3 linked regions of the Ovis aries genome follow. The main gene of each other region encodes a partner of the protein of the gene in region 2 in a complex. Links are inferred from orthologs where the notes say so. Each region holds a gene or a part of one and is shown on either strand. Other genes may lie near its edges. The genes, in order: CCNA2, SAMHD1 and DCAF1.

What was found.
Region 1: the proteins of SAMHD1 (region 2) and CCNA2 are in contact, whole or in part, in a cryo-EM structure (PDB 9HIW), measured with the Homo sapiens proteins. The link is inferred for Ovis aries from reciprocal best matches to the Homo sapiens genes SAMHD1 and CCNA2. Residues at the interface, in NP_056289.2 of Homo sapiens: Lys615, Ser616, Arg617, Val618, Gln619, Leu620, Phe621, Lys622; in NP_001228.2 of Homo sapiens: Met210, Ile213, Leu214, Trp217, Glu220, Val221, Glu224, Arg250, Leu253, Gln254, Tyr280, Ile281, Thr282, Asp283, Asp284, Thr285.
Region 3: the proteins of SAMHD1 (region 2) and DCAF1 are in contact, whole or in part, in a crystal structure (PDB 4CC9), measured with the Homo sapiens proteins. The link is inferred for Ovis aries from reciprocal best matches to the Homo sapiens genes SAMHD1 and DCAF1. Residues at the interface, in NP_056289.2 of Homo sapiens: Ser616, Arg617, Val618, Gln619, Lys622; in NP_001336097.1 of Homo sapiens: Asn1090, Glu1091, Asp1092, Thr1114, Gln1116, Asn1132.

Annotation. Positions count from the first base shown.
Region 1 is NC_056059.1:3,748,820-3,759,413, forward strand, and holds CCNA2 (cyclin-A2), read left to right. Parts: upstream 1-3,871; 5' UTR 3,872-4,097; coding exon 4,098-4,304; intron 4,305-5,088; coding exon 5,089-5,332; intron 5,333-6,632; coding exon 6,633-6,745; intron 6,746-6,929; coding exon 6,930-7,153; intron 7,154-7,772; coding exon 7,773-7,980; intron 7,981-8,398; coding exon 8,399-8,512; intron 8,513-8,975; coding exon 8,976-9,109; intron 9,110-9,434; coding exon 9,435-9,483; 3' UTR 9,484-10,158; downstream 10,159-10,594. Other genes in the region: BBS7 (Bardet-Biedl syndrome 7 protein), read left to right, coding at 1-12, 1,735-1,868; EXOSC9 (exosome complex component RRP45), read right to left, coding at 10,159-10,243, 10,568-10,594. UniProt on the Homo sapiens protein: Cyclin which controls both the G1/S and the G2/M transition phases of the cell cycle. Functions through the formation of specific serine/threonine protein kinase holoenzyme complexes with the cyclin-dependent protein kinases CDK1 or CDK2.
Region 2 is NC_056066.1:65,969,215-65,979,808, forward strand, and holds the start of SAMHD1 (deoxynucleoside triphosphate triphosphohydrolase SAMHD1), read right to left. Parts: upstream 7,240-10,594; 5' UTR 1-7,239.
Region 3 is NC_056072.1:49,384,712-49,395,205, forward strand, and holds part of DCAF1 (DDB1- and CUL4-associated factor 1), read left to right. Parts: intron 1-4,248; coding exon 4,249-4,386; intron 4,387-5,365; coding exon 5,366-5,878; intron 5,879-6,167; coding exon 6,168-6,269; intron 6,270-8,883; coding exon 8,884-9,042; intron 9,043-10,229; coding exon 10,230-10,409; intron 10,410-10,494. UniProt on the Homo sapiens protein: Acts both as a substrate recognition component of E3 ubiquitin-protein ligase complexes and as an atypical serine/threonine-protein kinase, playing key roles in various processes such as cell cycle, telomerase regulation and histone modification.

The sequences.
Region 1 (10,594 bases), on a different chromosome or scaffold from region 2:
AAAGACTCTATGGTTAGTGGACTATTCTACCATACCTTGTCATATTCTTTTCTATTGGCTGTTTGCAAAGGATCACATGAGGGAAGGTAGGCGGAAGGAGATAGGCAAAGGTTACAGCAGTCATGACTGAAATAGTAACAGCCAGTGTATTGCACAGTGTATTTTGTCGAGTTGGTTTTAATGTTTAATATTTTTACTTGATAATATGCAAGTAAACAGTAACAAATGAAGTAAATATAATGCGATTAATTTATATATGAAGAAACCTTATGAAACATTATAATTTAGGCTGTATTACATACAAATAATTTTCAGTTTTCATTGCTATTTTGAAGTATCAAAATACAGCATTTAATGTCTTTATGCAAAATTGAAGAAGGGTTATATATGTGTTGTGTCAATTTATAGTCTAAAATTCATTTTGCTTTGGTGGCAAGAAGTTGAGTGTTTCACAATATATTGTAAAAGCAAGAGCAAGAGGGAGATGTGAGGAGGCAGAGAGAGAGGAAGAAAGAACAGCTTAAGGAAATTTTTTTTTCAATCTTTACAGAAGACCTGTATGCATAGTATACCTATTTATTTATGCATCTTTATAATCAGGTGGGATATTTAATCCTTACAACAGTGCTACACAATAGATGGTGCTGTCTCTGTTTTTCATATTTTTTAAAACTGAAATCTGAACTTAAGAATTTGCCACATAAGTAGCTAGTGGCAAAGCCTTCATTAGGACCTCCTTGCCCCAAGATGGATGCTTTTTGCACTGTGCCAAGTCTTATATGGAGTCAGTTGGTATCATCTGTCCATAGTGATCCTTAAGATCTTCCTAATAATTTATTTTATGCCCAAAGACTTGCTCACGAGCTATAACAATAATATCTGATATCTTAATATTTACCATGTGGCAAGCATATCGTTATCTTCATAATAACCTAAAAGATGGGTGGTACAGAATTGCCATCTCTTATCACCAGTTTTGCAGTCCAGAAAGCTTTGAAATCAAAAGCTTTTTTTTTTTTTGATAAATCATTTGGCAATAAATTTAACTTGATCTGAATTAATAACAGTACCTCACATAAACTGCTATGAGGTTTTTTTTAAATTCCACTTAGTGTGAATATTCATACATTTTGTTGTAGAAATGTTTTGTTGTCAGATGCTGCCACTTACTTTCCATGAGTATTATGCCATACATATGGTATATTCCTTTTATTATCTTACTAAAATATGAAAAACTATGAAACATGACTTAGAGGCTTTAGATAAAGGATATGACAGCTTGAATTATTTCTACTGTACATATGTTAGGATCTTTGAATCTAGAAGTATCTGCCTTCAAGTCAAATCCTAAGAATGTTACTTCAAATAAAGCTGTAAGGAACAAAATCTGTCTACACTATGTCAAAATGGTCAAGCTGATGGGGAAAGAAAAGAAAACCACTTGTAATTTTATATATACCGATAGGAATTCAAAACTGGCCAGCAGTTGATTGTCTGAACTAATAGCTTGTAACCAGTTGTTAAGAGAGTTATTAGCCAAATGATTTTTATTTTGAAATTTGCCATAAAATCCCCCCCAAATACATATTTTTTAATGTACCAATCCTTTCAGGTGTATATGTTAAACAATAGAAATTACAGATGCTAAGAAATTCTCAAGCAATCACTTTCATTAAATAATGTGTGGTTAATCAAATTAATCAATGACAGAAAATTATCCTTTTTTCTTTGTAGGCATGATCACCGATCTTTTCATAGATAAGTTCAAGTTTAAAGGCACCAATGTAAAAACCAAAGTGCCTCTTTTACTGGAAATTCTGGACAGTTATGACCAAAATGCACTGATTGCTTTCTTTGATGCTGCATGAAATATAAACAAGGTAAAGTTCCAAAGAAGTTGTCTGTTTAAATGAAAATTGTTAAAATAGAATTACAAGCTAACTGTACATACTTCTATTTCAAGTGCTTTTTAATACTGTCTAAAATAAATGAAGTATGACTTGTTTTTTGTGGCACTTTTATTTTATTTTTTTACAAATGTAATTTTTTTAAAGTAAAGATAATTTTTATTTTTTTTTAAATGAAATGATTATAACAGATTTTAATGAATTTTTTTCTCAAGAGGCTGTTTTAACTTTCAAATCAAAAAATATTATTTGGAAAATAGACACATTTAAATTTTTAACAAGCCAACACATATGTATAAACTGCTTTACAGTTTTCAAAATGTATGTACATATGTGACCTCAAGTGATCTTCACAGTATGTTGATTATTTTGTCAAATCATGTAAGACAACTGATTCTCAGTGAGATTGTGTTTAAGAGGACATGCTGTTATTTCATAAATGTGGGACCCAAGTTCTGGTGCCTCAATTATGTTTTGGTTACTATGTGTGTTGTCAACTAGGTGAAATAACCGATAATGTTTTTTTTTCTAGGAATTGAGATTGACTTACAACTGATTTTGCTGTTGCTTGGTAATGTTTTGTGACTCATACTCAGTTTGTTAAATACTTGGGTTGGCTCATTGCTTTAAACTGTGGCCAGGGAAATCAGACCTTGCACAGATTGGGGGGATTTTAACTTGATGTGCTGTAACCAGTAGGGCCATACAAATGTACTACATATGAATAGTACAGAAATAGTGATGGCTTCTTAGATTTTCCTGCACTAATAAATACTAATTTTCCTTTTTTATCATATATGGAGGGAAATATAACTGTCAATCTTAATTCATATTTATTCATATTCAGGTGAATATTATACTTAAGATTGTGCTTTTTAAAGTGGCATAAGGATTATAATAGAAAATAAACTATTCTCTGTGTTTTCAAGAAGGGCACACTTATTAATTTGTTGGGAAACAACAATGCTCAATTATATACCATTATATTTATTAGTTATGTGCAAGCCTTGTTATATATTAAATGTGAAAATTTGCTAAAGGCACGTATTTCTATCAGTTTTATTTTAATAAGGTCATATTTTTTTTTTTTACTATATTTAAACAACCTTCATTTCTAAATGGAACACAATTATATCTAGGTCACTGGAATTTCACTCCGTGCTTTTTGTTGGCTGCCATACAGCCAAGGTTAATGGCTGACTAGTTGAATTTCTTGTATATTAGTTTGTTACGTATATCAACAGTAATTCAAGGTGGCAGTTTAATTGCATCTTCATGAAGAAAAATAAAAAGTATAAGACTGTGAATAAGCACGAAAATGGTAAGATGACACTATAGTCATCCACTTGAGTATCAATTACATAAGCAGCGTATGAAATGATTTATGCACGTTATTTAATACTAATGATAACTTATAACGTGTAGATATAATCACCCCAGTTAACAGATAGGAAAACTGAGAATCAGAACATTGAGTAACTTGAACAAGACCACCAGGCCAGTATGGCCGGATCCGATTTTAGACCTTGAGAAACTTCAGTCAAGCTAACTGGAGGTCCTGTGGCTAAAGGCCGGGTGGTGATGGTGTGGTCTTTAAGTGATGTTTGACTCTGTGACCCCATGGACTAACCCGTCAGACTCTATGTACGGCCCACTAATAATCGCTAAAGTGTAACTCACTTTGTACTAGCGGCCGCCCCTAGCCTAAGACAGGAACTGCTTAGCGGCGGTATTTAAAGCCACCATAAGCCTAGGCCCCGCCTCCCCGCCCGGCGCAGGCGTCCTTCCTTCTGCCGCCGTTCTCTGTTTCTTCGTCCCGCTCCGCCCCTGCTCGGGTGCCTTCGCAGCCGCCTTCATTCGCCTGCGACCGCGTCGCCCCGAGTGACGTCACAGGGACCGGCACCTTTCATTGGTCCATTTCAATAGTCGCGGGATACTTGAACTGCGGGAACAGCCGCAGCTCCGGCGGGCTGCTCGCTTCATTTCGGGGGCGTCCTTGTCCCTCCACGCCCGGCAGTTCTTGCCTCCGCCTTTCTCAGTCTCCTCGGTCCTGCACGGTTCCGAGCAGACGGGCAGGCTGGCTCGGGCTGCGGCGGGCGGGTACGGCTGGAGTGTTCCTCGGCTGGTGTGCGGGACTCAGTGCACGCTGCTTGGCGCCGGGCTGATCCCGCCGCGCCCCCGGGAGCAGAGATGTTGGGCAGCTCCGCGCACGGGCCTGCGGCCCGCGAGGCGGGTTCGGCGCTAACATTGCAGCAGTCGGCGTTCCAGGAGGACCAGGAGAACGTCAACCCCGAGAAGTCGGCGCCCGCCCAGCAGCCCCGGACCCGGGCTGGGCTGGCGGTACTGAGGGCCGGGAACTCGCGGGGTCCAGCGCCCCAGAGGCCTAAGACGCGACGGGTAAAGCAATGAACGATATCCTCAGGAGGGAGGGCCGAGCGGGGGTTTTGCACGGGTTTAGCCGGCAGAGGAGAGTGGCGAGAAAGCATTCCCTGGGCTTTTCGCGGGAGGCTAGGATCTGGAGTTCCTTGATCCCTGGGTTTCTAGAGTGTAGGACGCCACATTACTCCCATTAGTTACTCTTCCATACTGTTCCTGACAGCGCTGTGCTTTCATGCTGCCTCTCAGCTTTCCATTGGGAGTATTTTTCCATAGATAATGGGATCAAACCAGGCCCCACAACGTTGAGTATGGTCTTTGCCCGCCTCCACGCCTTTCTGCTCTAAAACCCAGGCACTATTCCGACCTTCGTCTTCCCCATATGGATGGGTAAAGAAACTACCTTTACTTTGGGCGAAGGTATGAAAAGTGCTTTGCTATTGGTCAATTCCGCCATCTTACTGAATTTGCTCTGTTGCTCCACCCTAGGGTGAAAAAGGAAAACCACTTGTTTTTTGCCATCTCTGTTAAATTTGGCATCTTTCGGCCTGCCACTCCAGCCATCTCTGGCCTAGTTTTGCATAATTCCATTTGGTGTGACCGAAATCTTTGGTGTCACAGGAATGCCTATGACAAATTGAAGCATCTCTTCTTTCTCCAGCTACTCAAATTTCCTTGCCTGAACTTTGCCCCCAAAAGTTTTAATTTTCCTGATAAGAGGGTTTGGGACTATACTCAGCAGTATAAGGGGATGAAAGTAAAATTCCACTTAATAGGCTCAAAGCATTTAATTATTTCATTGTAGGTTGCACCTCTTAAGGATCTTCCTGTAAATGATGAGCATGTCACTGTTCCTCCCTGGAAAGCAAACAGTAAACAGCCTGCATTTACCATTCATGTGGATGAAGCAGAAAAAGAGATTCAAAAGAGGCCAACTGAATCTAAAAAATCAGAAAGTGAAGATGTCTTGGGTTTTCATTCAGCTGTTACTTTACCAGGACCAAGAAAGCCACTGGCACCTCTTGATTACCCAATGGATGGTAGTTTTGGTAAGTTTTAAAGAAAACTTGAATAAAAGTAATTGTTAAATAGGTCGGATTAATATTTTCCTTCTAAGACATTTTACTTGAGCCTTACTACATTATGAGTTAGGCATAACAAGTTTAGAAAGGGTGTGACTTATCTCAGGCCTCACAGCTAATCTGTGACCTGGTGACCTCCAAAAAGATTCTAATCCCGTGCTCCTTCTGGTACACTGCTGCTGCTGCTAAGTCGCTTCAGTCATGTCCGACTGTGCGACCCCATAGGCGGCAGCCCACCATGCTCCTCTGTCCCTGGGATTCTCCAGGCAAGAACACTGGAGTTGGGTTGGTACACTGCTAATCACATCAATTTCATTAGATCCCAAAGACTTAATTGACCCTCAAAATATTTGCTTAGTTGGGAGAATATATTTCAGTTAAGACTAACTTTGTTCACACCATTTCAGAGAACGCCATCTGAGGATGTAGCTTTAAATATTGAGATAGCCGACATCCCGTCCAGCTCTAAAATTTGTTTCTGTAAAACCCGTCTGAGTGATTGTCTGATATCAGAAAGACAGTTGTCTTCCTGTGAGTCAGAGTAACTGCTATGGACAGCTCTGTCTACAGTTTGTGCTACTTTACCATCAGACTGTGGGTTCACTGGACAGCTCACTGAATTCAATATCAGTTTTAGTTGTATAAACGAGGGGTATAGCAGAGAAGTGCTTTGGAAATAACAGTAATTTGTGTATTATTTAAAATTCACAGCAAATTTTAACCTCAAAGTAAACTTTGAGCTGAAATAATAATGGATGACATTCATTGCCTCCAAAGATGAATTTTACCAATCACCCATTGATTGTACCGTTAATATGTTTCAACTGCCCATGACAAATCTGATTTCCTCTTTAGCACACTTGTTAGTCCTGCTTCTAATTGTTGCCTGGATTATGCTTTGCAAATGTTAGACTTTGGGGTCTGCAAACTCTTATGACAAATCCTAGATATTATCTCAGAGTTTGGATTTTAACCTTGTTCTAACAGAACCACTGTCTTCCTATCATGCAAGATGAATGATGGTTTAACTTAATAACCTGCTCCTCAAATTCATTTTCCCATTAATGGTCTAACGATATTTTAATTAAGATCATTCCAAAACTAAGTAGACAGAGGTACTAAGATGAGAGTTAAATCTCTTATGTATTTTGTCATAAAAAGCTCTTTTAGTTGGATGAAATAAGCTCATTGGTAGTATGGGACTCCTTACAAGGACCATCATTTTTAGCTCTTAAGTGAACTTAACTGTATTTTTGAATTGTCCCAGAGTCTCCACATACTATGGAAATGTCAGTTGTACTGGAAGATGAAAAGCCAGTGAGTGTTAATGAAGTACCAGACTACCATGAGGACATTCACACATACCTTAGGGAAATGGAGGTAACTGCTGCCTGAATCTACTCTTTATACTGCTGTTTATTTACTGTGGGGAAATGAAATTAAGATGATGTTTTTACATTTTTTAACTGCCAGTTGATTACTCTAATACTATATTTAAGTTTCTAGCATGTAGCTGGTATCTGTTAATGATAGAATATCTAACTGTAATTTTAACACTCAACAGGTTAAATGTAAGCCTAAAGTGGGTTACATGAAGAAACAGCCAGACATTACCAACAGTATGAGGGCTATCCTCGTGGACTGGTTAGTTGAAGTAGGAGAAGAATATAAACTGCAGAACGAGACCCTGCATTTGGCTGTGAACTACATTGATAGGTTTCTTTCATCCATGTCTGTGTTGAGAGGAAAACTTCAACTTGTGGGCACTGCTGCTATGCTTTTAGCCTCGTAAGTCCAACTTGGTTCATTGGGTTAAAAGTGATTAGTATTTTTCTGTGTAGGGAAGAAATTGTGATTTAAAATACATATATTTGGCAAGTGTGATGTTTTAACATATAACACAAAGCAGGACTCACAACTACGTGAGGGGTGGTAGTGTAGATGAAACTATCAATTTAGGACATTAATTTGCCTAGATCAGTCTTTCAGGGCACTTGAACCTACAGACTGGCAAGATTTTAATACACTAGGACCAAGTTACAAAGTATGGTTCCTTCCACAGAAAAGTACCTTCTGTTAAATAAGCAAAATCTTACCTTTTCCCCATTAAGATATGAAAACTAAAATATAAAGCATTTCTTTTTCTAAGGAAATTTCCCACATTTTCAGTTACTTGCTGACCTTGCTCCCATCTTGGGAAGTCAGTCTCTCATTTCCTTGGACTTCAGTGGAAGACATATATGGGGGCTTTTAATTAGCATTTAACCAATTTCAGCTAAAAATGGTCAAGTATCAGTGGAAACAGGGAACTGGTTTCAGATTCATTCCATTGATTCTGCTTAAGGGATTTCAAGTTGGGATAAACAAGCTTGCTTTTCTAAGGACTAATTACTTCTTTGCATTGTAGAAAGTTTGAAGAAATATACCCACCAGAAGTAGCAGAGTTTGTATACATTACAGATGATACATATACCAAGAAACAAGTTCTGAGGATGGAGCACCTAGTCTTGAAAGTCTTAGCTTTTGACTTAGCTGCACCAACAATAAATCAGTTTCTTACCCAGTACTTTCTGCATCAGCAGCCTGCAAACTGCAAAGTTGAAAGTTTAGCAATGGTAAGTTCCTTTCATTCTGTTGAATGAAGATTCTAAGGTCACAACTGGGGCAAGCTCTAGTTTCATTATACAGTCTTGGTCAGGAATATACTATTCTGGGACAGATGAGTGCTGCAGCACATGAGAGCAAGCCCATCACTCGCAAAGGATAATGTAAATTGGGAAAGCATTGGGGATATGAGAATGGAACGTAAGTGGTAGCCAGAAGGGTTGTTCTAAAGGCTAGGGGAAAAATACAGGATGAGAATGAAGCAAAACAATGCAGTAGTGGATATATTTAAAGATGTGACTGAAAATTTTTATATGGTTGCTATACAGCCAGTCTTAAAAGACAAGAAAAAATTAGGTCAGAAAAGGCGGATTTGAGGTTTGAATTCCAGAGCTCTTATGATCATAGTTATTTACTTTTTCATTCCAGTTTTTGGGAGAGTTAAGTTTGATAGATGCTGACCCATATCTAAAGTATTTGCCATCAGTTATCGCTGCAGCGGCCTTTCATTTAGCACTCTACACAGTCACAGGACAAAGCTGGGTATGTATTACATCTTCACACGTCTACTTTTTGATTCTAAATGCCTGTGCCAGATAACTGTCGTAGACAATTGATGGTTGTCTAAATGTACTGAACTGGAAGAGTTGTCCAACCATCTACTCTGTTTAAAGCGTCCTGTCTTAGAAAGCTTAGTTACTTTTGCACATTTGAAAGATGTGCTTAAAGAATCTGGGCAACAAGGCCTGCCACTGGCAGGGAAAATTGTAAAAACTGAAGTCAGCAAAAAGGCGCTTAAGAAAAGTGGAAAATGTTCAGTTCAGTCACTCAGTCGTGTCCGACTCCTTGTGACCGTGTGGCCTGCAGCATGCCAGGCTTCCCTGTCCACCATTGGAGGTGTTAAGTACTAAAGTTTAACAAAACTCAAGCTTAATGCCAACTACTAAGTTGTGTTTAGTGTCTGTTACAAAAACAAAGTCCAGTGGTTTTCTCCTCCCTCCTGCAGCCTGAATCATTAGTACAGAAGACTGGATATACTCTGGAAACTCTAAAGCCTTGTCTCCTGGACCTTCACCAGACCTACCTCAGAGCACCACAGCACGCACAACAGTCAATAAGAGAGAAGTACAAAAATTCAAAGTAAGAAGTAACAGCAGTAGATACTACACAAGTTTGCTTTTCCAGGCTATCCTACGGCTCAGAGTTCCTTAATATTTTAACTTCTATTATTTAAGCAACCACTCTCTTAGCAGCCATGTGTTTTGAGCTTTCTGTCCTATATTTGAGGGAGAAGAGGGGAGAGGAACAGGGCATGCATGCATGCATGTTTGGGGGACCAGACTGGTTTTGTAAATATTAAATCAAGTAGGCAGAAATTTGTGAGTTCCTGGTATGTGTATAATTCCATGATCTGCTTCACCCAATGAATGTTTACTAAAAATGGATTTTTTTTTCTTACTTACAGGTATCATGGTGTTTCTCTCCTCAACCCACCAGAGACACTAAATGTGTAACAGTGAAAAGACTGCCCTTGTTTTCTAAGATGTAAATCACTCAAAGTATATGGTGTATAGATTTTATCTTAGGTTTTAATTTTACAATCATTTCTGAATACAGAAGTTTATGGTCCAGTACAAATTATGGTATCTATTACTTTTTAAATGGTTTTAATTTGTATATCTTTTGTAAATGTAACTATCTTAGATATTTGGCTAATTTTAAGTGGTTTCTGTTAAAGTATTAATGATGTCAGCTGTCAGGATAATAATTAATAAATTGATTTGGAAAATTTGGTTTGTAAGTCAAATTTAATTTGAAGTAAAAATTTGACTTCAGGATTTCACTCAGAAAAATTCATCAGGACTGGGAAGGCTTCTCCTTCCGACACACAGGTGCTGACATTCACTTCTTTAAGAAACTGGGCCAGCTGTGACTTGGGAATAATCTGAGACCGTCAGGCCTGTGTACACACTTCTTCATTCGTCAACTTTCAGTACACTTGACCTACCAAAATGACAGCTATTTAAAACCTGTAGAGTTCTCCAGGCATTTATTTTAAAGCATAATGTAAAAAACTGTATAAAGAAGTAGATTTTATGATGGATTTGTGAATAAAATACTCAAGATTGTTAGCACTGAATAAATACCTTTTTAATAGTTATATACACAAATATACAACTTTGTGAACTTTAATTGGCCGCTCTCTTCTTTTTTCTTTTCTTCACTGGCTTTTTACTTGGTGCTTTTACTTGTGTTGCACTGATGGTCTGTGTTCTGTGAACAAAGTAAATTAACGTTTCAACAGTATTAGTACTATGAGCTGATTCCACAAATGGTTTTTACCAACCTTACTTCCTACACTGCCCCCTACTTTGGTGATCCAAACTACTTTTTCCAGTAGGCTGGATATTTACCAACTATGGCAGAAGAATACTGTAACCTTGAAAGGCACCCATGCAGATGTATAGAGAAACCATAGAAAGATCTGGATTGCTAATGCAAAAGGTGTCTGTTGAGAGGGTAAGATGACAATAAACCAGAGAGCAAGCCTCTAAAGAGTCTTGAGTATACATTTGAAATAAATGAGAAATTTGTTACCTTATTTTCTTTGGATTCTTATCTGGT
Region 2 (10,594 bases):
CAAATTTTTCAATTGCTCCCTTATCCCATAGACCCCTGAGGGAAAGTATAGAGAGGTGACCTTGCCCTCCTCTGCACGGAAGGACAGAAGAACCAGGGCCCAAAAAACATATCTTTAAACCCCAGAATATTTTGAGTAAAGAATGTTTTTCAAGACTTGTGAAACCAAAACCACAAGGGCAAGGAAGTCAAAGAGACACGTAACATATATATGTGAAAGATATATATTTAAACTTGAACATGGCTGTTTGAAAATTTATGTTTATAAGACTTGTGGGAAAACCTGCCCTGACAGCAAGGTTTCTTGGACAGTAGAAGGTGATATAAGCAGGGTTTTAAGTTTAATCAGTTGGGTTTGTTCAAAGCAGTTGCTTTTGAGAAATTAATTTTCTATTTGTTTTTGCTTGTTAAAGAGTTGTTTTTGCTTGTTAAAGAGTATGATTTATGCCATAGCTATTATGTTTCCCCTAATCTACTTCATAGGGCCCCTAAATCTTACACAAAGTTGGTTGGTTTCTTGTGGAAGGTCACATGGCTGGTAAGTGACAGACTCAAGATTCAGAACTGACTCCAAAACTTGGATGGTTTCTAGTTTGCTGCTTTACTTCCACTTGGTCCTGGTGATTCTGTTTCATCCAGTCATTCCACAACCTGGAAACAAATGCCTACTAGACACAGGCCCTCTGCTCTGGTCATATTGAGAGAAATGAATATTCACGAGCTCCTCTGATGTCAATCTCACCATAGTTAGAACTAGAAAAAAACAACTCAAAGTTCAATTAATTTAAGGCCCCTTGTTTAATGACCTTGAATACCCTCAGCAAGTCCTCCCTGCTCTTCCAAGCTAGCTTCCACCCACCCAGCTGAATTGGGCAATTTTATTCCTGGCACCATTAACTTTGTGGTTTTACATCTCTCCACAACTTCCTCTTCAACCAGCACTGCTAGTTCTCAGTGCCATCTAGCACCACTCCCTGGTTCTCTCATTGAACCTAACCTCCTCAAGGACCTTGTCTGTTCCATCTGCCAAATTCCCAAAGCAAGCCAAAATTCTTTTTTTTTTTTTAAATATATAGATTTCTTTGTCTGATAAAAATAATGTTCAAGAAAGAAAACTTGGAAAACAAAATGTGTATATACACACATACAGATCCAAAGATACAGATCCTGCTACATACAGATCCTGGTGCATGCCCCATAAGTCTTTTTCTTTTTTCTTTTTTCATAAGTCTTTTTTGGTTCATTGATGCAGAAACTTATCTGCATGTTTGTCAGGGAATTCTTTGTTAAAAAAAAAAAAAGAGTGAACTGGCAAAATGATAATAGCTAACATATTTGATCCCATCACTTCATGGGAAACAGATGGGGAAACAGTGGAAACAGTGTCAGACTTTATTTTTGGGGGCTCCAAAATCACTGCAGATGGTGATTGCAGCCATGAAATTAAAAGACACTTACTCCTTGGAAGGAAAGTTATGACCAATCTAGATAGCATATTCAAAAGCAGAGACATTACTTTGCCAACAAAGGTCCGACTAGTCAAGGCTATGGTTTTTCCAGTGGTCATGTATGGATGTGAGAGTTGGGCTATGAAGAAGGCTGAGCGCCGAAGAATTGATGCTTTTGAACTGTGGTATTGAAGAAGATTCTTGAGAGTCCCTTGGACTGTAAGGAGATCCAACCAGTCCATCCTAAAGATCAGTCCTGGGTGTTCATTGGAAGGACTGAGGCTGAAACTCCAATACTTTGGCCACCTCATGCAAAGAGTTGACTCATTGGAAAAGACCCTGATGCTGGGAGGGATTGGGGGCAGGAGGAGAAGGGGATGACAGAGGATGAGATGGCTGGATGGCATCACCGACTTGATGCACATGAGTTTGAGAGAACTCCGGGAGCTGATGATGGACAGGGAGGCCTGGCATGCTGCAATTCATGGGGTCGCAAAGAGTCAGACACAACAGAGAGACTGAACTGAACTGAACTGAACATATTTGAGTACCTACTATGAATCAGATAGTCTATTTGTGCTTTACTTTATATACATAATTTCCAATCCTTATAACAATGTCATTAGATAGGTATTATACTAGCTGGTCCTCTTTGGTTATAAATACATTCATTCATTCATTCCATCAATATTAATATATACTGGGTACGTACTAATTTGTTTGGCACCTGGGACACAACAATGAACCAAAGAAACAAAAACCCCTGCCCCAGTGAAACATATTCTAGCTGGGGGAGACTGGCAATGAATAATAGTCTAATTAACAAGAATAAAGTTAGAAGATGGTACTTTGGAACAAAGTTTTTAAAGAGGAGTAGAGGAGGAGGATAGAGTCACAGTTTTGAGTAGCGGGGAAACTTTTGAGAACATGAAATTTCTTCCTCAACCATGCAGGTATCTGGAGGAAAAGCATTCCAGACAAAGAGAACACCAAGTGCAAAGGCTTTTGAAGCAGGAGCATGCTGGGTGTTAAGAAATAGCAAAGAGACCAGTGTGGATGGGCAAAGTGAGCAAAGGGGAAGTACTAAGAGATTAAGTCAAGGAGGGTGCAAATCATGTGGAAACATGAGGGCTACCAGCTGCAAGTTGCTTTAAGGTCCCATCTTTATGGCTTCATATCTAGAAATAAAAGAAAGCCTCTGCTCCTCCAGTTTAAATGTAAGGGAATGACTTCAACAAGTCTGGATTGCTTTCATTCCTGGACCAGTTGTGTTATGAAATGATTGACCTAATCAGGATATATGTTACCCCTTGGGTTAGAGGGCAAGGTCTAGTATCAGGAAGAAGAGACTTATTTCTGGACAAAGATTCCTGGTGTTATTTAAGAAATTTGGAAATGAAGCCCAGGGAGGTGAAATGACTTGCCAAAGGCCACACCCTTGTGTTAAGTGCTTTGGGATTTGAACCTAGATCAGCCAGGTGATGCTAGTGGTAAAAAACCTGCCTGCCAGTGCAGCAGACGTGAGACAAAGATTTGATCCCTGGGTTGGGAAGATCCCCTGGAGAAGGGCGTGGCAACCCACTCCAGTACTCTTGCCTGGAGAATCCCGTGGACCGAGGAGCCTGGCAGGCTACAGTTCATAGGTTCGCAGAGTCAGACATGACTGAAGCAACTTAGCACACACGCACAGCCTTGAAAACCACTGTTCTGTTCCGTAACTTGAGCTGGGTATAAGTTCTATTGCTTTTAGGCAGTCACAGGGAGTGGCCAACTCTTCCTATAGAGTTTCACTTATGGTGACTTCCTAGGAGTGCCTCAGTGTATGGGGTGGAGTGACCATGTATTTGGGAGTTAGGATGCTCAAACATTTGAGGGAGTGGCCAGACTTCAGTGGGTTGCTCCTGAGTAAACATAGTTCATGAATCCTTTTAAACTTACTGCTTACAGCCAGTCTCCACTTGTATTTCAACTTATATTCAACTTTGTACTCAGTCGTCTCCTCAGTGGTCTTGTGTCTTTAGGGGTAAATCCTCTCAGTTCCAAACCTCCCAGTACAGTCAAGGTTCTGAGCCTTTATTTGGGGGTCCTCTGCGGCTGGCTTTCTCTGGAAAGGGAATGGTTCATCTTGGTCAGTACTCGGTTGTGGGGAATTAGGTTTCTAAAGGCACTGCCATTGTTCAGAACTCCAGATCAATTAATGTTTAAAACTTATGGGCCTTCCTCTTGTAAATTTCTTTTGCGTTGGACTAAAATCACGTGCAATGATTTGAAACTCTGTTGGTCTACTTTTGGCTTGTTCAGAATTTCAAAATTAGTTTATTTGTGTGCTCAACTGGAGAAAAACTATAGTACAAAACAAACAGAATGTGAAGCGTATTTCAATTCATATTTTGAGGCCTCCAATCATAATTAATGTATCTGCTACTATTGCTTCCCCCTGAGAAACTAACTCACAATTATGTCAAAAGATTTCCAAGCTAGAAAAATCCTCTGAGGCTTCTGAGAACTCTCTTTTTCCAAATCTTTTTTTTCTGTCCCTCTGAGTATCTGTCATAAAGCTCTCCTCATTGCTATCCATCTCTTTCTGAACTTCCTTATTTTTTTGTAACACTGAACTTGATCCCCTGCAGAAGACTATCCATACTGCCCATCCGGTAATGGCAGCCCATTTTATTTTTTTTTTATTTATTTTTTTTTTATAGAGACAAGATTTATTTATACCATAAATATTTCAACAAATTCCACTTTCTACGATGAGTTCAATCTTCACAAAAGTAGGATGAACAGCACCTGTTTCCACTAGGATCCATAGAGCGTGAAAATCTTAATGATGACCACCAGAAAGGTCAGCACGGTTGATATCACAGATTTTTCAGTGTTCCAATACAAGTTCTACCCAAATCCATAAAGAAAGACATACGCATAGGAAACTACAAATTGAAAGCAAGTCTATTGAGATAAATATTGGACTTCAATTGTATGAATCTTTAAGGCATAACTGCAGACATTCTTCAGACATTCTTCAAATTCATAGAATGACAACAAAGTATGGCTACGTACAATCCATTCGGTTTTATAAACCACTCATGAATAACCTCACAAGCCATTTGAAACCAGATGACAATTTCAAATAGCTTTGATCTACAAACAAGGCTGTAAGACAGAAAGTTAAAATCGAAATACATGAAGTAAATCCTCAATAGATATGAAAACATCCCATGGTAGTGAAGTCAATTAGCATTAGTTATTAGGGCTTTCATGCACAGACTCATCTCTGATCGATGTGATCCCAATTCATATTTGGCAAAAAATACGAAAGCTGATCTTAACAGTCATATTATTTTTCTTTGTACCCCTGAAAAGAAAAATGAACATGAAAAACTAAATTAAGCTTGGAGGCTCACATTTCCCAATCGGTATACAAAGCAACAGCATGTCAAACTTTCTAATTCACATATGCATTTAAATGAAATTGGATGAAATACCCCTAAATAAACACATACTTCTATGCCCAATGTTTCACAAGGCAGAAAACGCTCAATGAATGAAACTGAGAGGGTAACAGCCAGGAAGGCCAGAGGTCTCCAAAGGGAGGAAATGGGGTGCAAGTGTCAGACAGTTGTTATCTGTCACTTCCGAGGCAGGAGGAAACAAGCTGTTATCTTTTTTCCCCTTCTTGATACAAATTTAAAAAGAGATTTTTCTCTTACAATTCTGTGTTGCTATGATGACACCTGGTTCCGCCTGAACTTCACTTTTCTCATACTTTGAGCTGACCAAGGCATTTTTCTCATGGAAAGGTTTGCCTTAAGCTATGTGAATGTACTATGTATTTACCCTAGACTCTATCTTCAAGTAGGTTCTGCCTAAAGGCTCAGAACTGACTTGACAAACCAATATGCTTTACTCATACATGGCTCTCCTGATCTATGTGAATGAAGCTATCCATTTGCTCATATCAATCGTTTTATGGCCCAGGATGACTCACCTGGTGCCACGGTCATCTCCATATATCTTGTGGGTGAGGGGTCTGCTGCCATTCCTTTCTCTAATGAGTAGACTGCTAGTAGCTAGATAACATCCAGCCAAAGATGAGTAGGGGGGCACTCTTTCTGCCCCCTTCTGATGTCTATGTCAGAAGCTTTCTCTCTTTTATACTTTAATAAAACGTTGGGACACAAAAGCTCTGACTGATCAAGCCTCATCACTGGCCCCGGGTTGAATTCTTCCTCTAAGGAGCCCAAGAATTCAAGCATCTTTCATGGTTAGACAACAACCTTTCCAAACAATGGTCTTTTCAAAAAAAAAAAATGATGATAAGTGATGAGTATGCATATGTCTACGAATGAAATGGGACCTATATGTCAAACCACATAAAAATATATCTTCCCTCAACATACATATAACAAAACCAGGCCTTCACATGCATCGATTCTCCAACTATCAAGTCATACAAATATGGATGTAAAATATCACAATACATTCCAAAGTTTAAAAGTGATGGATATTGACTTTCGCCCGCTGGTGCTTCTTTTTATGTCATCTCCATTATATTAGCTATGACAACGAATCATGTGCTGTGCGAAGTCACTTACATTGTGTCCAACTCCTTGGGATCATATGGACTAGGCCCCACCAGGCTCCTCTCTCCATGAGATTCTCTAGGCAAAGATACTGGAGGGGGTTGCCATGCTCTCCCTCAGGAGATCTTCCTGCCCCAGGGATGGAATCCATACCTCCCATGTCTCCTGCATGGGTATGTTCTGCATGTTCTTTACCACTAGAACCACCTGGGAAGCCCCAAGACACATGAACATCAGTGGATTTGGGGATCCACGGGGCATATACAGAACCATTCCTCCAACAAAACTGAAGAATGACTTTAAAATCTCAAACAAAACATGAGTATATGTGTTCACAAACTTCATGGAGCAAGGGTTTCTTCGATCTGAAAACTGGCATCGATGAAGGACTGTGTGAAGAATACTTCAAAGTCTATTTGGCAAACACAGCCTACGTTGGCTATATTTAGTCCTCAGTTGAATGGAATGTCATGAGTACTGGTCATTTCAAATAAGTAGCCTATGACGCTGTTTACACTTATTGGGACGCGTGGTATACCACATTCACACATTTCAGTAGCATTGGTGCAAAAACGATACATTTCTCAGGGGAAGCTTCTACATGGACTCCTGGGATCAGAGCTCTAACTCATACACACATACTTTCCCTTTTAAAATGATCCTGCATGATAAGCAAACAAAACACTGGATGAACACCTAGACGGTGAGCTCTGTACTAAATGATTTTAAAGCCAGTAGATGGAATGAGCTGATGAGGAAGACTACAAACGAGTCATCTTCTTCAACTTGGTCAAACTGCTCATAGTCATACAAGTGAATGAAAAGTTGAGCCTGTTGTCATTAAATCCAGATGAAGTTCAAGGGAAGCTGCAATGCTCACTGCCCGTGAAGGAGTCCACGTGGAATGAAGAAGTAGTGTGGGAAGTCTATTAGTAACCACCATGTCTTGGGTCCTCTGGATGACCTACGATGCAGGGAACACGGGTTCAATTCCTGTGTAGGAGATTCCACACGCCCAGGGGCAACGAAGCCCTTGAACAGCTCTTGAAGTTTGCATGCTCCAGAGCCCAAGTTCTGTGGCCCACAGCCCTGCGCTCTGCTCGCTGGATGCCAATCGACGGGGACCCAGGAGCCCACGAAACGAGCATTCCCAGCTGCAATGGCGAGCCCTGAGAGCCCTGGCCCCCGACGCGCCGCCATGTTCATCCCGCCCTGGCAGCCCATTTTAAAGCCAGGTCCAATGAGGATGGCACCACACCATTACATATATCCTCTGGACTAAGGCATGTAAATCTACCCTTCAAGCACTATTAATTGGACATGCTCTTTAGCATGCCATTTAGCATGTCCAGTTAATAGTGACATGACAAAGCTAACCAACAATGTTGCCTGGGCAAAACATAATTTTTTTTTTTTTTTACATCTCAGTTAGAAATCTCCCTAATACAAAGAAACAAACTGAGGATAAAGTAGTTGGATGGGTGGATCAGCCTATGGTGTTATTTACAGTAAGTTATACCTTATGAATCTTTGTGAAAGTGGAAATGTAGTTCTAGAGGCAGTTCATATTTCACCCGTTCCTTTTCATCATTCCCCACATCTCTCATGTTTATCTCAAAGGCTTGTAACCTCTCTGGGAACTCTTATCTAGACCACCTCCCTCCAATTCCTAAAATTGAAAAAAAACAAAAAAAGGAGGGGGAAGGGAGAGAAGAAGACTTTTAAATATACAGCTGCTGGAGTTCCCTGGTGGCGCAGTGGATAAGAATCAGCCTGCCAATGCAGGACACGGATTTGATAACTGACCTGGGAAGATTCCACGTGTCTCAGAGCAAGTAAGCCTGTGTGCCACAACTACTGAGCCCACGTGCTACACCTAGTGAAGCCCGCATGCCTTAGAACCCATACCCTGCAACAAAAGAAAGCACTGCAATGACAAGCCCATGCACCACAATGAAGAGTAGCTTCTGCTCGCTGCAGCTAGAGAAAACCTGAAAGCAGCAAGAAGGCAGGCCCAGGAACCAAAAATAAAGTGAATAAATAAATTGTTAAAGATAAATAAATAAAAATACAAGCTGCCATAGAAGTACCTTTGCCCAGAAATCCAGTTTAAGAAAAGTTTTAAAACAAAAACTATAAGGTCTCTGTTTGCATCTGTCTGTATGTTCATGTGTGTGTGTTAGTCCCTCAGTCGTGTCTGACTCTTTCCGACCCTGTGGACTGTAGCCCACCAGGCTCCTCTGTCCATGGACTGCCCAGGCAAAGATACTGGAGTGCCTTGCCATTTCCTTTACCAGGGGATCTTCCCGACCCAGGGATTGAACCTGGGTCTCCTGCATTGTAGGCAGATGCTTTACTATATGAGCTATTAGGGAAGACCATGTTTATATGTGTCTATATATAAATATATTGTGAATGAAGTGAAGTGAAGTCGCTTAGTCGTGTCCAACTCTTTGCGACCCCATGGACAGTAGCCAACCAGGCTCCTCTGTCCATGGGATTTTCCAGGCAATAATACTGGAGTGGGTTGCCATTTCCTTCTCCAGGGAATCTTCCCAACCCAGGGATCAAACCTGGGTCTCCTGCATTATAGGCAGACGCTTTACTGTCTGAGCTACCAGGGAAGTCCTACCTTTGGATAGTGCTGCTAAAATGAATCTGTAAAAGAGTTCTATTTCATTGGCTTAACACAAACAAGCACTATATAAATTAAGTCTATTTGCAAAAATGTAATAGAACCTAACCCAAATGTTTTTCAAGTTCACATGATCTAGGGTGAATCTTTAGGAAATAAAAGCTAGTTTAAGTTTGTTGGTTTAATACAGACATTCCTTTAGCATTGCCAACATTAAGTATAACACTTTTTAAGGAGTTTTAAAAAAATAAGTTTATATATTTATTATTTATTTCTGGCTGTGCTAGGTCTTTGTTGCTGTGCACAGTTTTTCTTTAGTTGTGGTGAACACGGGCCCTAGGGCATGTGAGCTTCAGTAGCTGTAGCTCATGGGCTCTGGAGCACTCTGGCTCAGCAGATGTGGTACATAGGCTTAGTTGCCCCTTGAGATGTGGAATCGTCTCAGGCTAGGGATTGAACCCATGTCTCCTGCATTGGCAGGTGGATTTGTAACCCCTGATCACCAGGAAAATCTCAAGTATAATGTTTTATTCTACTTAGGTTTACTAAAAGTCAAATAAGCTCATGTTATCTCTGTTACAAAATTTGTCAGTCATGACTGATGTTATCTAATGTTTGGTGAAGTATTTTAATAGGAGATCTAAACATGTTTGTTAAGAACAAATGAATTAAATGTAAATAAGTTGAGTTTTTAGGCAAACTTTTTAGCAATGATATAGCTGCTTAAAATCCATGGGGTCACAAAGAGTTGGCTACAACTTACGCACTGAACAATAACTTAAAATAGTTTCCCAGGGGGGCTTCCCTGGTGGTCCAGTGGCTAAGACTCTGTGCTCCCAAAGCAGGGGGCCTGGGTTCAATCCCTGGTTAGGGAACCATATCCCACATGCCACAGCTAAAGATCCTGCATACCAGAAAGTAAAGATCCCATGTGCCGCAACTAAGACCCCAGGTAACCAAATAAATATTTTAAATAAATAAAATGGTTTCTCAAATCTCACTGGTAACTTACACCCTTAGAGTTTTACTAAATTAATAAGTTAAATTTTAAGTTAAATTCATTGAATATCTAAGTTATTTCCAAATAATTTCCAAATTAGATATTGAATTAATTACTGAACATAGACTTCTTTTTACAGAGAAACTAAAGTATTTGATGCCAGTCTGAGAAATTTTCTATGAGAAAGCACTTTTCTAGAAATGATAAAAATTATGTATAAGGTTGCCAATATACAGAATGCCAATGTAAAACATAGTTCATAATTGCTATTTAGTTCTTATTCATTTTCAAATTAAAGTTTTCTAAGGATTTTTAAGTGGGGAAGTTAAAAATCTTAAGGATTTTTAAGTTGGTGTTGGAGAAGACTCTTGAGAGTCCCTTGGACTGCAAGGAGATCCAACCAGTCCATCCTAAAGGAAATCAGTCCTGAATATTCATTGGAAGAACAGATGCTGAAGCTGAAGCTCCAATAATTTATCCACCTGATGTGAAGAACTGACTCATTGGAAAAGACCCTAATACTGGGAAAGATTGAAGGAAGGCAGGAGGAGAAGGAGATGATAGAGGATGAGATGGTTGGATGGCATCACCGACTCAAAGGATATGAGTTTGAGCAAGGTCTGGGAGTTGGTGATGGACAGGGAGGCCTAGCATGCTGAGGTCCATGGGGTCACAGAGTCAGACACAAATAAACAATTGAACTGAAGGATTTTTAAAAAATGCTAATATATGTGATTAAAGCTAAATAAAAAGACAAATAAGTAAAAACATCTCCATATATGAGGAAAGTAGGATGTCTATTTTCCGTAAAAGAAAGTTTATGAAGAAGGAATCTTTAGGAAGGACTTTCATGCCTGGTTAAGACTAGAAATGATTGAAATGAATTTAATTAAATGAGTTTTAATATCAAAAGTAAACTGGTACAAAAT
Region 3 (10,494 bases), on a different chromosome or scaffold from region 2:
CCCCATGGACTGCAGCCCACCAGGCTCCTCCGTCCATGGGATTTTCCAGGCAAGAGTACTGGAGTGGGGTGCCATTGCCTTCTCCAAGGGTAATGCTGGTTTCATAGAATTAGTTGGGAAGTTTTCCCTTTCCATCCATTTTTTGGAAGAGTTTCAAAAGGCTTGGTGTTAATTCCTTAAATGTTTGGTAGAATTTACCAGGTAAACCATCTGGTCCTGGGTTTTCCTATTTGGGGTGGGTTTAATGACAGATTAACCCTCCTTAATGGTTACAGGTTTGTTCAGTTTTTCTGTTTCTTCATTAGTCAGTTTTTGTAGGTTGTGTTACTAGAAGTTTGTCCATTTAACCTGTTACTGAGTTTTTTGTTTATAGTGTTCTCCTGAAATCCTCCCTCCCCTATATTTTCGACTGTGTATCACATGGCTTGCAGAACCTCAGTTCCCTGAGCTGGGACCTAACCTGTACCCTCAAACATGAAAGCACAGTCCTAACCACTGGTCTGCCAGTGAGTTCCCTTATAGTCCTTTCTGTTTCTGTAAAATTGGTAATACTGTCTTCCCTTTTATTTTTGATTCTAGTAATTTGTCTTCTTTTTTCTTGAGGTCAGTCTACCTCAAGCTTTGTCAATTAAAAAAAAAATTATTTACTTATTTATTTTTGGCTGTGCTGGGTCTTTGTTGCTGCTCTTGGGCTTTCTCTAGCGGCGGCCAGTTGGGGCTACTCTTTACTGCAGTACCCAGGCTTCGCCTTGTGGTGGCTTCTCTTGCACAGCATGGGCTCTAGGGCTCACGTGCTTCCGTAGTCGTGGTGCACGGGCTTCATTACTTTTCTGCATGTGGGATCTCACACCAGGGATTGAACCTGTGTCCCTTGTTTTGCAAGGTGAATTCTTAATACTGTACCACCAGGGAAGCCCCGTGTCAATTTCTTTTTGATCCTTTCAAAAAACAACTTTTGGTTTCATTAATTTTCTGTATTTCTCTATTTGATATTTTATCTATCTCCACTTTAAACTTTATTATTATTTTTATATATCTGTTATGTTTGGGTTTTCTTTGCTCTTTCTTGTTTCTTGAAGTGTGAAAGTAAAAGTGAAGTCGCTCAATTGTGTCCAACTCTTTGCGACCCCATGGACTGTAGCCTATCAGGCTCCTCCCATCCATGGGATTTTCCAGGCAAGAGCACTGGAGTGGGTTGCCATTTCCTGCTCCAGGGGATCTTCCCGACCCAGGAATCGAACCCGGGTCTCCCGCATTGCAGGCAGACGCTTTACCGTCTGAGCCATCATTCTTGAAGTATATAAGTAGGTTATTAATTTGTGACCTTTTTTTTTCTTTTTATGTACTTGTAGCTATAAATTTTGCTCTTTGCACTGCTTTGGCAGCATCCCATCAGTTTTGATGTGTTGTGTTTTTGTTTCCATTCTTCTCAAGGTACTAATTTCACTGTGATTTCTAATTTGACCCATTGGTTGATTATGACTGTTAATTTCTGCAGATGGATTTTCCAGTTTTCTCTTGGGTTATTGATTTTGCATTTCATTCCATTGTGATTGAAAAAAATTCTTTCAAGAATTTGTAAGGGCTGTAAGAGGTCAGCCCTTTTACAATTATTAAGATGTGTTTTGTGGCCTAACATATGGTCTATTCTGGGAGATGTTCCACCTGTACTTGAGAAAAATGTGTATTCTGCTCTTGTTGGATAGAGTATTCTCTATATATTTTTAGATTGAATTGATTTTCAGTGTTGTTCAGCTCCTCTGTTTCCTTGTTGGTTTTCTGTTCAGTTCTATCTATTATTGAAAACTGGGATAAAGAGTTTCTGTTTGGGACAGTGAAATTCTAGAAATATAGTGATAATGGTTATACAGCATTGTGAATGTACTTAATCCCACTGAATTGCACACTTAAAATGGTTAAAATAGTTAAAAATTATTGAATGTAAAAAAGAAAATCAGAATTCTAAGACTGGAAAATGAACCAAGGAACTACTGGGAATAAAAATTACAGTTTTTGAATTTTTAAATTTAATAGACGTAGACCAAAGTCTCCACATAACTACTGATAGAATTAAAGTTGAGATATGGAGACTAGAATTAGAAAATTTTGAACGTGTCTAACAGGAGTTTCAGAAAAAGAATGGAAGGAACGTCCCTGGTGGTCCAGTGGGTAACAGTCCCCGCCCCGGCTGCAGGGAGTATGGGTTTATCTCTGGTTGGGAAACTATGATCCCACATGCTGTGCGGTGAGGGTGCAAAGGTCACATACACATATACACAAGAGAATAGAAAGGCCGCATTCAGAGACGAGGCTAGGATCTTACAAACAAATGAAAGACGTGACCACTCAGATTCTCTTTCTCTCTCTCTCTCACGCACGCACGCACGCACGGAATAGGAATAGAAAGCCCGTATTCAGAGAGATGAGGCTAGGATCTTAATAAATGAAAGACATGACCACTCAGATTCAGAAAGCCCAAAGAAGAATACCAAAGACAAAAGATTTTAAAAGCAACTAGAGTAAAAAAGATTCCTGCAAATTAATAGCAAGTTTTGCCACAGCATCAGTAGAGGCCACAGTAGAAAATGCCTTCAGAGAACTTTGTAAACCAAGAAATATTGGCTACAATTTTTGGGGAACAGAAGAGGGAACATATTCTGGGTAACATGTAGATGGTAGGGAATAGGTTAGAATTAGTATTTAAAGTTTTTTATGCTGTTCAGAAAGAAGAATGAAAGACACTTAAAGTAGATGATATGTTTGTTTTCACATCAGTAAGTATTTTAAAACAAAATTTCTCAAAGTGTATTGTTCAGTGTTAATAACTTTTTTGAAGAAAGTTTAAAGTTTGGAAATATATAGGAGAATGACAGCATGACCTTAGGGAAGAATTTAAGAGATAAAGTGCACAAAGTTTAAAAGGAAATATTATTATATATGATTACATAAAATTAAGAGTTTGTGCTTATCATGAAACACTGGTAAAAGACGTGAGTATTTCACAGAAGATGGAAGTATGAATGATCACAAGGCATGAAAAAATGCTAAACCTCATTGGTAAATGAGAAAATTCAAGTTAAATGAATCATTAAATTTTCATACCCACTGTATTACAAAAAAATAAAAAGTCTGATGGTGGTCAACTTTTAGTAAAGATGTATTTAAAAATGGACTATTCAATGTTGGAAATGTGAATTGTTGTGATTACTTTGAAAAATAGTTTGGCTGCCTCTAGTAAAGTTGAACATACACACCTGTGACTTAGTAGTTCTGTTCCTAGGTGTCTACTCTAGGGACGTATTTGCACACAAAGGTAAAAGTTAAGCGAACAAAATAGCAGCAGAACATGGTGGTGCAGAGCATTTGGAGGTACGCTGCCTGGAATAAGACCCCAGCTCTGCTACTTACTAGTTTTGTGACTTTTGGTAAGTTACTTAACCTCATTGTGACAGTGTTCTCTTCCGTAGATATAGTACTTTGTCCATCATACAAAGCTGATACAAGGATAAAGTAAATTGTATGTAAAGCCTGTCTTATGTTGGGTACTGTTTGTGACAATTACACATAACAGTATAGATGAATGTAAAAACTTGAAGTTGAGTAAAACAAGTTGCAGAAAAGTACGTATGACACACACAATGTATACAGTTCAAAGCCTATAACATTTAACAAAAGCTCTGCAAGAAAATTATTAAAATTTAGGAAGGTAGATACCCTTTGGAGAGGAAGGAGGTAGGTGGTAGGGAGGGGCACATGGGAAGTTTCTGTTTCTTAAACTCATGGGTAAATCACAGAGGTGATTTTCATTTTCTTTGGACTATACATGTTTATGTATTTTATTTCATAATAAACACTAAGAGTGGGATATGTGGAGTTAAACACTTGTTTGATGGAGGACTCCTTAGACATTGCTACTGTTAATTGTGCATCGTGAACTTTAAAGAGGCGTGTAGAACTTTTAGCACCCCCTGCTTGGTTATGGAACCTTTTGGGACTTAATAGCTGCATTATGTGATAGTTGATCTTTAGCTTGCGTTTTCGTGGATAAATAGGACTGTTTCACAGATGCACAGTTATTTTAAACCACCTACTGTAGTACATTTAGTTTGCTTAGATATTGTAATCTTATGAACAATATTGAAATATTTTATTAAAAACTTTTTTTTATCAACTGAAGTCATTGCTTATATCTTGAATTATGAAATCTTGACCCACCTGATTTGTACTCTTTCATTCCCTTTACTAAAGGAAGGAATTGTTGAGAACCTTTTCAAATGGGCCCGAGAAGCTGATCAGCCGCTGAGGACATACTCTACTGGTCTGTTAGGAGGTGCTATGGAGAATCAAGACATCGCTGCCAACTACAGGGATGAGAACTCACAGCTGGTAAGGGCTGTGTCAGAGTGACTTTTTCATGTAAGATAGTATATTCACTCATTCTTTCTTGCTACCTGAAGTTGAGTCAGTAGATCTTATTCTTATTCATTGTACTAAAGTATAGCTATAATATCAATATTTCAATTCTTACCTTATGTAAGAGTTTTGACTGTACCTTTTTTTTTAACTTGAAGATAGCAGTTTTTCATTTTGTCAAAGATCATGATAGTTTGTACCAGATAAACAGTACCATTTCCTCTTCCTTTCCCACATTTGGATTATGAAAAATTTCAAACATATAGCAAAATACAATTTTACAGCAAACACCTGTATATAGACCACTTACATTGATTGTGAACATTTACTGTATTTTTATTTATGACATACTCATCCATCCATTCACCCCTCTTCTCGTCTAGTCATCATTGTTTGTTTTTTTTAAATGCAGTTTGAAGTAAGTTGCAGGCCTGATCACTTTTTTTTTTTTTTTTAAACTAAGCATAATACTAAAGTTTTGGATCAGACCAAAAAATGAATACCTAAAGGAAAACATAAGTGGTGAACTTGAAAAATAGCTTATATAATTATGTGTAATGTGGATGACAGTATTTAACAGAATACAGATAAAAGTTTATAAAACCTTCATGTTTGCTTTTCAAAGACACTTGTAAAAAATTGTGAATATACCTAGTGTCTGCCCCTTCAAATGTGATGGTCCGGTCCAGCATGATCTGGACAGATGTGCTGTGAATTAGGTTTTATCTGCAAATCTTCTGGTTTAGATTCTTGGAAATTTTATGGGGAATGAGACTTTTAGCCATTATTTATTTCATCAAGCTGTAGGAAATCAAGTCAACATACTTGTCAGATCTGTACTCTTACCAGTCATTGAGATAACTGCCTGAGTATCCTTAAATGGAAGTAAGAATTACTTGACTCTTAAGATACAGAAGAGATAAATCTGTTTTATTCCAATATCTGTTGATAGGTGGCAATAGTGCTTCGAAGATTGAGGGAGCTACAGCTTCAGGAGGTAAATTCAAGGCAAGAAAGCAAGCGTCCTAGCCCACGAAAGCTCTCCTCTGAACCCCTTTTGCCTCTGGATGAAGAAGCTGTGGATATGGACTATGGCGACATGGCTGTGGATGTAGTGGATGGTGAACAAGAGGAAGCTTCTGGAGACATGGAGATCTCCTTTCATCTTGAGTCAGGCCACAAGACCAGTAGCAGAGTGAACTCAGCAACCAAACTTGAAGAAGGGGCATTGAGGAAAAACAAGTCAACAAAACAGGCTGACAGAGAGAGCTTCAGGAAAGCCAAGCAAAAGTTGGGTTTTTCATCATCCGATCCAGACCGCATGTTTGTTGAATTGTCCAACAGCAGCTGGTCAGAAATGTCCCCCTGGGTGATTGGCACCAATTATACCCTTTATCCTATGACTCCTGCTATTGAGCAGCGACTTATTCTCCAGTATTTGACCCCTTTAGGAGAATATCAGGAGGTAAGCTTACTGGGAAAAGTAGTGTTCACTCTTTAAGACTACTGTGTTTATTTCTGGGGTATTTTGTGATGGCATATTATACATTGATGTGTTTTCATTCTAATACAGAAAAGTCTGCGTCAAACTGGTAAAGTCTTATGGAAGTCACTCCTGATAAGGTCTTTTTGAACAAAATGTGCTTATATGCTTATCTTTATAAAGGAGGGAGGAAGGGTTTCTTTAGTCTTCTGTCAGGAAATATGTGAAAATAAATCCAAATGTTAAGACATGTTTTTGGTGTTCATTTCAGTTACTCCCCATATTCATGCAGCTTGGGTCACGGGAGTTGATGATGTTCTACATTGACTTAAAACAAACTAATGATGTCCTGCTTACATTTGAGGCACTCAAGGTAAAGTTCTTTAAAATATTAGTTCCTGAGCATTTAATTAATGTGGATTGTCTATGTGTTTTGGTATATAACATCTCTGGATTTTATTGTTTAGAATGTTTCTATTACCAGATGTGTGAGTAGCAACAAATGAAAATTTCTTGTGTAAATAGAAGAGTTGAGGCTTACCAAGTTACTAACTGTATACATATTGTATGATGTTAGGTTATCTAGAGTATAAATCAGAAAATGAATAAAGAAATAAAGATATACCCAAATTCAGTGAAAGTAAAGAAATTTCTAGGTTGCAAAAGGGCTAAATATAGGCAGGCAGGTATGTCTAGCCCACTAAATCCATACCTCTTCATGATAATTAAGGTAATCTGAAGGGAGAGAGGTTAAGTTGAATGAATAACATTGTGGCTATTACAGTTCTACCTAACAGGTAACTAATGGACACAGTATTGTTCTGTGATGTTTATAGTATTAGACAGATAAGTTATGTCTCTGCTGTTTATCATGTGGTTGAGAGAGCCAGGCATGTAAGCCTGTGATTTTTTTTGAATATTATAGATGTTGTGACAGAAGTATTGGGGCACAAAGGAAGGAATGGTCTGTTCTCTTTGAGAAATAGTAGCTTCTAATCAAAACCTCTGAAAAAGAGATGATGTTCTTATTCTTTAAAGATATAATTTCATTCCTGATAGATATTCCAGAGCTACACTGTCCAATAAAACTTTCCATGATGACGGAAATGTTCTTTGTGCTTTTCAGTACAGCTGCTACTTGCCACAAATTAGCATGTAAAGTGTAGCTAGTGCCACTGAGCCCCTGAGTTTTTAACTTAATTTTAACGAAATTAGCCACATGTAGCCAATGACTACTGTGTTGGCCAGCACAGTTCCAAAGTGTATTGGAATTAAATACAAATGATGAAATTTGACTTGCAGACCCCAGAAATTTTAAGTTTGGAGGAGGTCAGACATAAATTGAAGTAACATGTATCCCTGTGTGTGGAATGCAGTGTGTGTGTGTATGTGTGTATAAAGCGTGCAAACTCATGATTTTACTTTGAACAGTGGGATGAAGCTGAAGGGTCAGAGTTGTCTCCAGTGGCCCAAGGTGTTGCTTTCAGATGCAGCGTCCTGTCTTGAAAAGGAAATAGTGGAAGAAGGGCTTTGGGTAGTTGCTATTTCTATAGGTCTTTGTATGAGAACCTATAATGGGTGTCATTATTCACCTGTTTCTATGCAGAATCATGTAAGGGGTTAGAGAAAATGGAATAAGGATGAACAGGGTAAAACCAGATAAGAGATCTTTCTTATGGGGAAATAAAAAGTGTAGAAAGTTATACGTACGGTTTTGTTCAAAAGGAAGACTCAGCTATGCAGGAGAAGGGGTAAGTGTTGAAGTTAGTAGAAACAAAATGGGTTAAAATAGTAAATTAAGAACTAGACCTTATACGGAGGTACAGTATAAGGAGTGAAAATAGAGTCTTTGCCCACAAGAGTGAGGTGAGCCACGTATGGGCTAACTAGAATTAAGGTTCTTGGTAAAGATTGAGCCCGTTTGTTCTCTGTTTTCCCTGCTGCTGATTCTGGCAGTGGAACTGCCTCTTTATGGTGCTGGTTTTGAGAAAAAAGCACGTGCAGTGGCCTGAGTATTGGGGAGGGAACCACACATGGTTTAGCTGTTTCTTAGGGAAAGGCTTGGTGGTAGAGGTTTGTGTATCAGACAAGAAAAGTAAACAGGGAAGGGATTTGAATTATATATAAGGATTAGTCCGAGTCTGTGTATTGAGAGAATGTCTGAAGAGGGTACACACCTGTTGACCTTGGTGAAATTTGTACAAGTATCAGTTACAAATCTGTATCATTTTGTCTGTACCTGCTGCCTGTCTCATGACCCAGAAGACACTTTGGTATGAGAAACAGGAGGGGGAGCTCTAGTTCTCATGAGGCTGCATCCATGTTGGCCTGGATTCAAAGTCATTGAGCAGCCTGCTGCTTGCATTGCACTGCCTGCCTTTAAATTGCCCAGAAGTTCAGGTCCACCCAGAGAGGCTAGTAAGAATCGGATAGCAAGGTAACAAAACTTAAAAGACAACAAAAACTTGCCTAATATAGACTTAATGAAATGTATTATTATAAATTCTATTTAAAGTGCATTCTGATTAGTACCAGAAATGTACTAGTTTTTTGAAGATTGGTTTTGAGGATATAAGCAAGCATCAGTTTAAAAGAAAGCAGAGTTTTGGGTGAATCAGTGACTGGGCCAAAGCTAAAACATAGAGCTGATTATGTTTAAAAGGATTAAAATGGAAAGGGTGACAAAAATCCATTAGGGAAGATATGTAATAGTAAAACAATTATAGGAGTGTGTCATAATGTACAGTAGTATTCTTCATTTCTTGCTTTTCACCGTCATGAAAACCTTTGGTATTAGAAGGGAATGTTACGGAATTCTACAGTTTTTGTTTGCTTATTTTGTTTCCCTGAAGCAGTATTGGTTTTACTTATGTTTTGAGGGGGTGGTTGTCTGCTTCTAAGGAGTCGTTGTATTTAGCAACTTAATATTCTGTGAAGAGATATTTGTACTAGATTGTTCCATGGTAATATGTATCCTCTTTGTGTAGCACCTAGCGTCTCTCCTGCTCCACAATAAGTTTGCCACGGAATTTGTTGCGCACGGTGGAGTACAGAAATTGCTGGAAATTCCTCGTCCTTCTATGGCTGCAACTGGCGTATCCATGTGCTTGTATTACCTGTCCTACAACCAGGATGCCATGGAAAGAGTAAGTCCAGTCCGTTCAGCTGTATGGGAATGGTGTAGGGTGAGGACTACTCTCATACATTTACAGAAAAGCTTTTGGGTAAGAAAACTAAACCGTTGGATCAGGCTTTAATGAAAGGAGCAAGTAACATCAATGTCTGATCTTTACTGAGCATTCTGTTTTCAGGCTCTTCTCAGGTGTCCCTCAGTAGAGTTACATTTTGCATTTTCGAGTCAGTCAGTTATAAAAACAACAGATGATGCTTTCTGTATGTTAACAGGATAGTTTGTGGTAGAGAGTAAAATCATTCCAGTTGTTCCTAGGGCTCTAGAGGTACCGTACCCCTCTGGTTTTTCTGTTTTTCCAGTTAAGATTTTTATTTCGTGGGTTTTTTGTTTTGTTTTTTTTTTTTAAATGTAAGTGGGTTCTACATTAGAAAAGAAATGGGTCCCTAGACACCACAGCAACCCTTGTTGTTTCTATATCTGGGCATTCTTCTATACTTTATGCAATTGTAGCTTTTCTGGTAGAGTGAAGTTGGTAAATTCCTCTTGGGTGGTGTCTTTATTCTTCTGTGCAAATTTATTAATGGAGTAATCTTCTGATTTTAATTTTTTTACTTGTTAAGATCTAGCTTTCTGCAAAGATATGTAATCTTTTGAGAGTAGTAACCTAATCTGTGTGTATTTGTACAGAATTAATTGTGGTTAAGATTTTTAAAAGTGCCAAACAAACCTAGGTAATGCTTCAGAATTCATTGTCTGACAGGAGTCAGTGCCATGTGTGTGAACAAATCAGTGAGTGAATGGATACTGAACTTGTAGACTTCAGTATCAGAAGGCTCAGTTACTTTTATCAACTTTTTATCAGCCTGGGAAAGTCCCTTACATCTCTGAGCTACTTCATTAATTAAGTGGTGATACTAATACCTGTGTAACAGAGCGTTGTGAGCATTAAAGGATAAAAATATTTGCAGTTTGACACTCGAAAGCTTAGGTGGAATTTAAATATGTCTCTAAATTTAGATTGTTTTCAGCCTTGGAATAGATTGTCATAAAATTTTATTGACAGCTTTAAATCAAGATGGCTTACTCAGGAATGATTATTGTATTTTGCAGATACCTACGTACACTGGTGAATTTTTTATACCTTCTGAAAGTTCCTTTCCCCCACGTTTTAAAAAGCTGTTTTATTTTTACCCTTTACAGGTTTGCATGCACCCCCACAATGTTCTCTCTGACGTGGTGAACTACACCCTGTGGCTGATGGAATGTTCGCATGCCTCAGGCTGCTGCCATGCTACCATGTTTTTCTCAATCTGCTTCTCCTTCCGGGCTGTGCTGGAACTCTTTGACCGCTATGATGGTCTCCGCCGTCTGGTGAACTTGGTGAGGTTCTTTGGTGGCTTCTCTTTGTGAGGAGTGGGGTCCTGCTTGATGGGGCTGCCCTTTAGCAGCACTGAAGAGAGGAAGC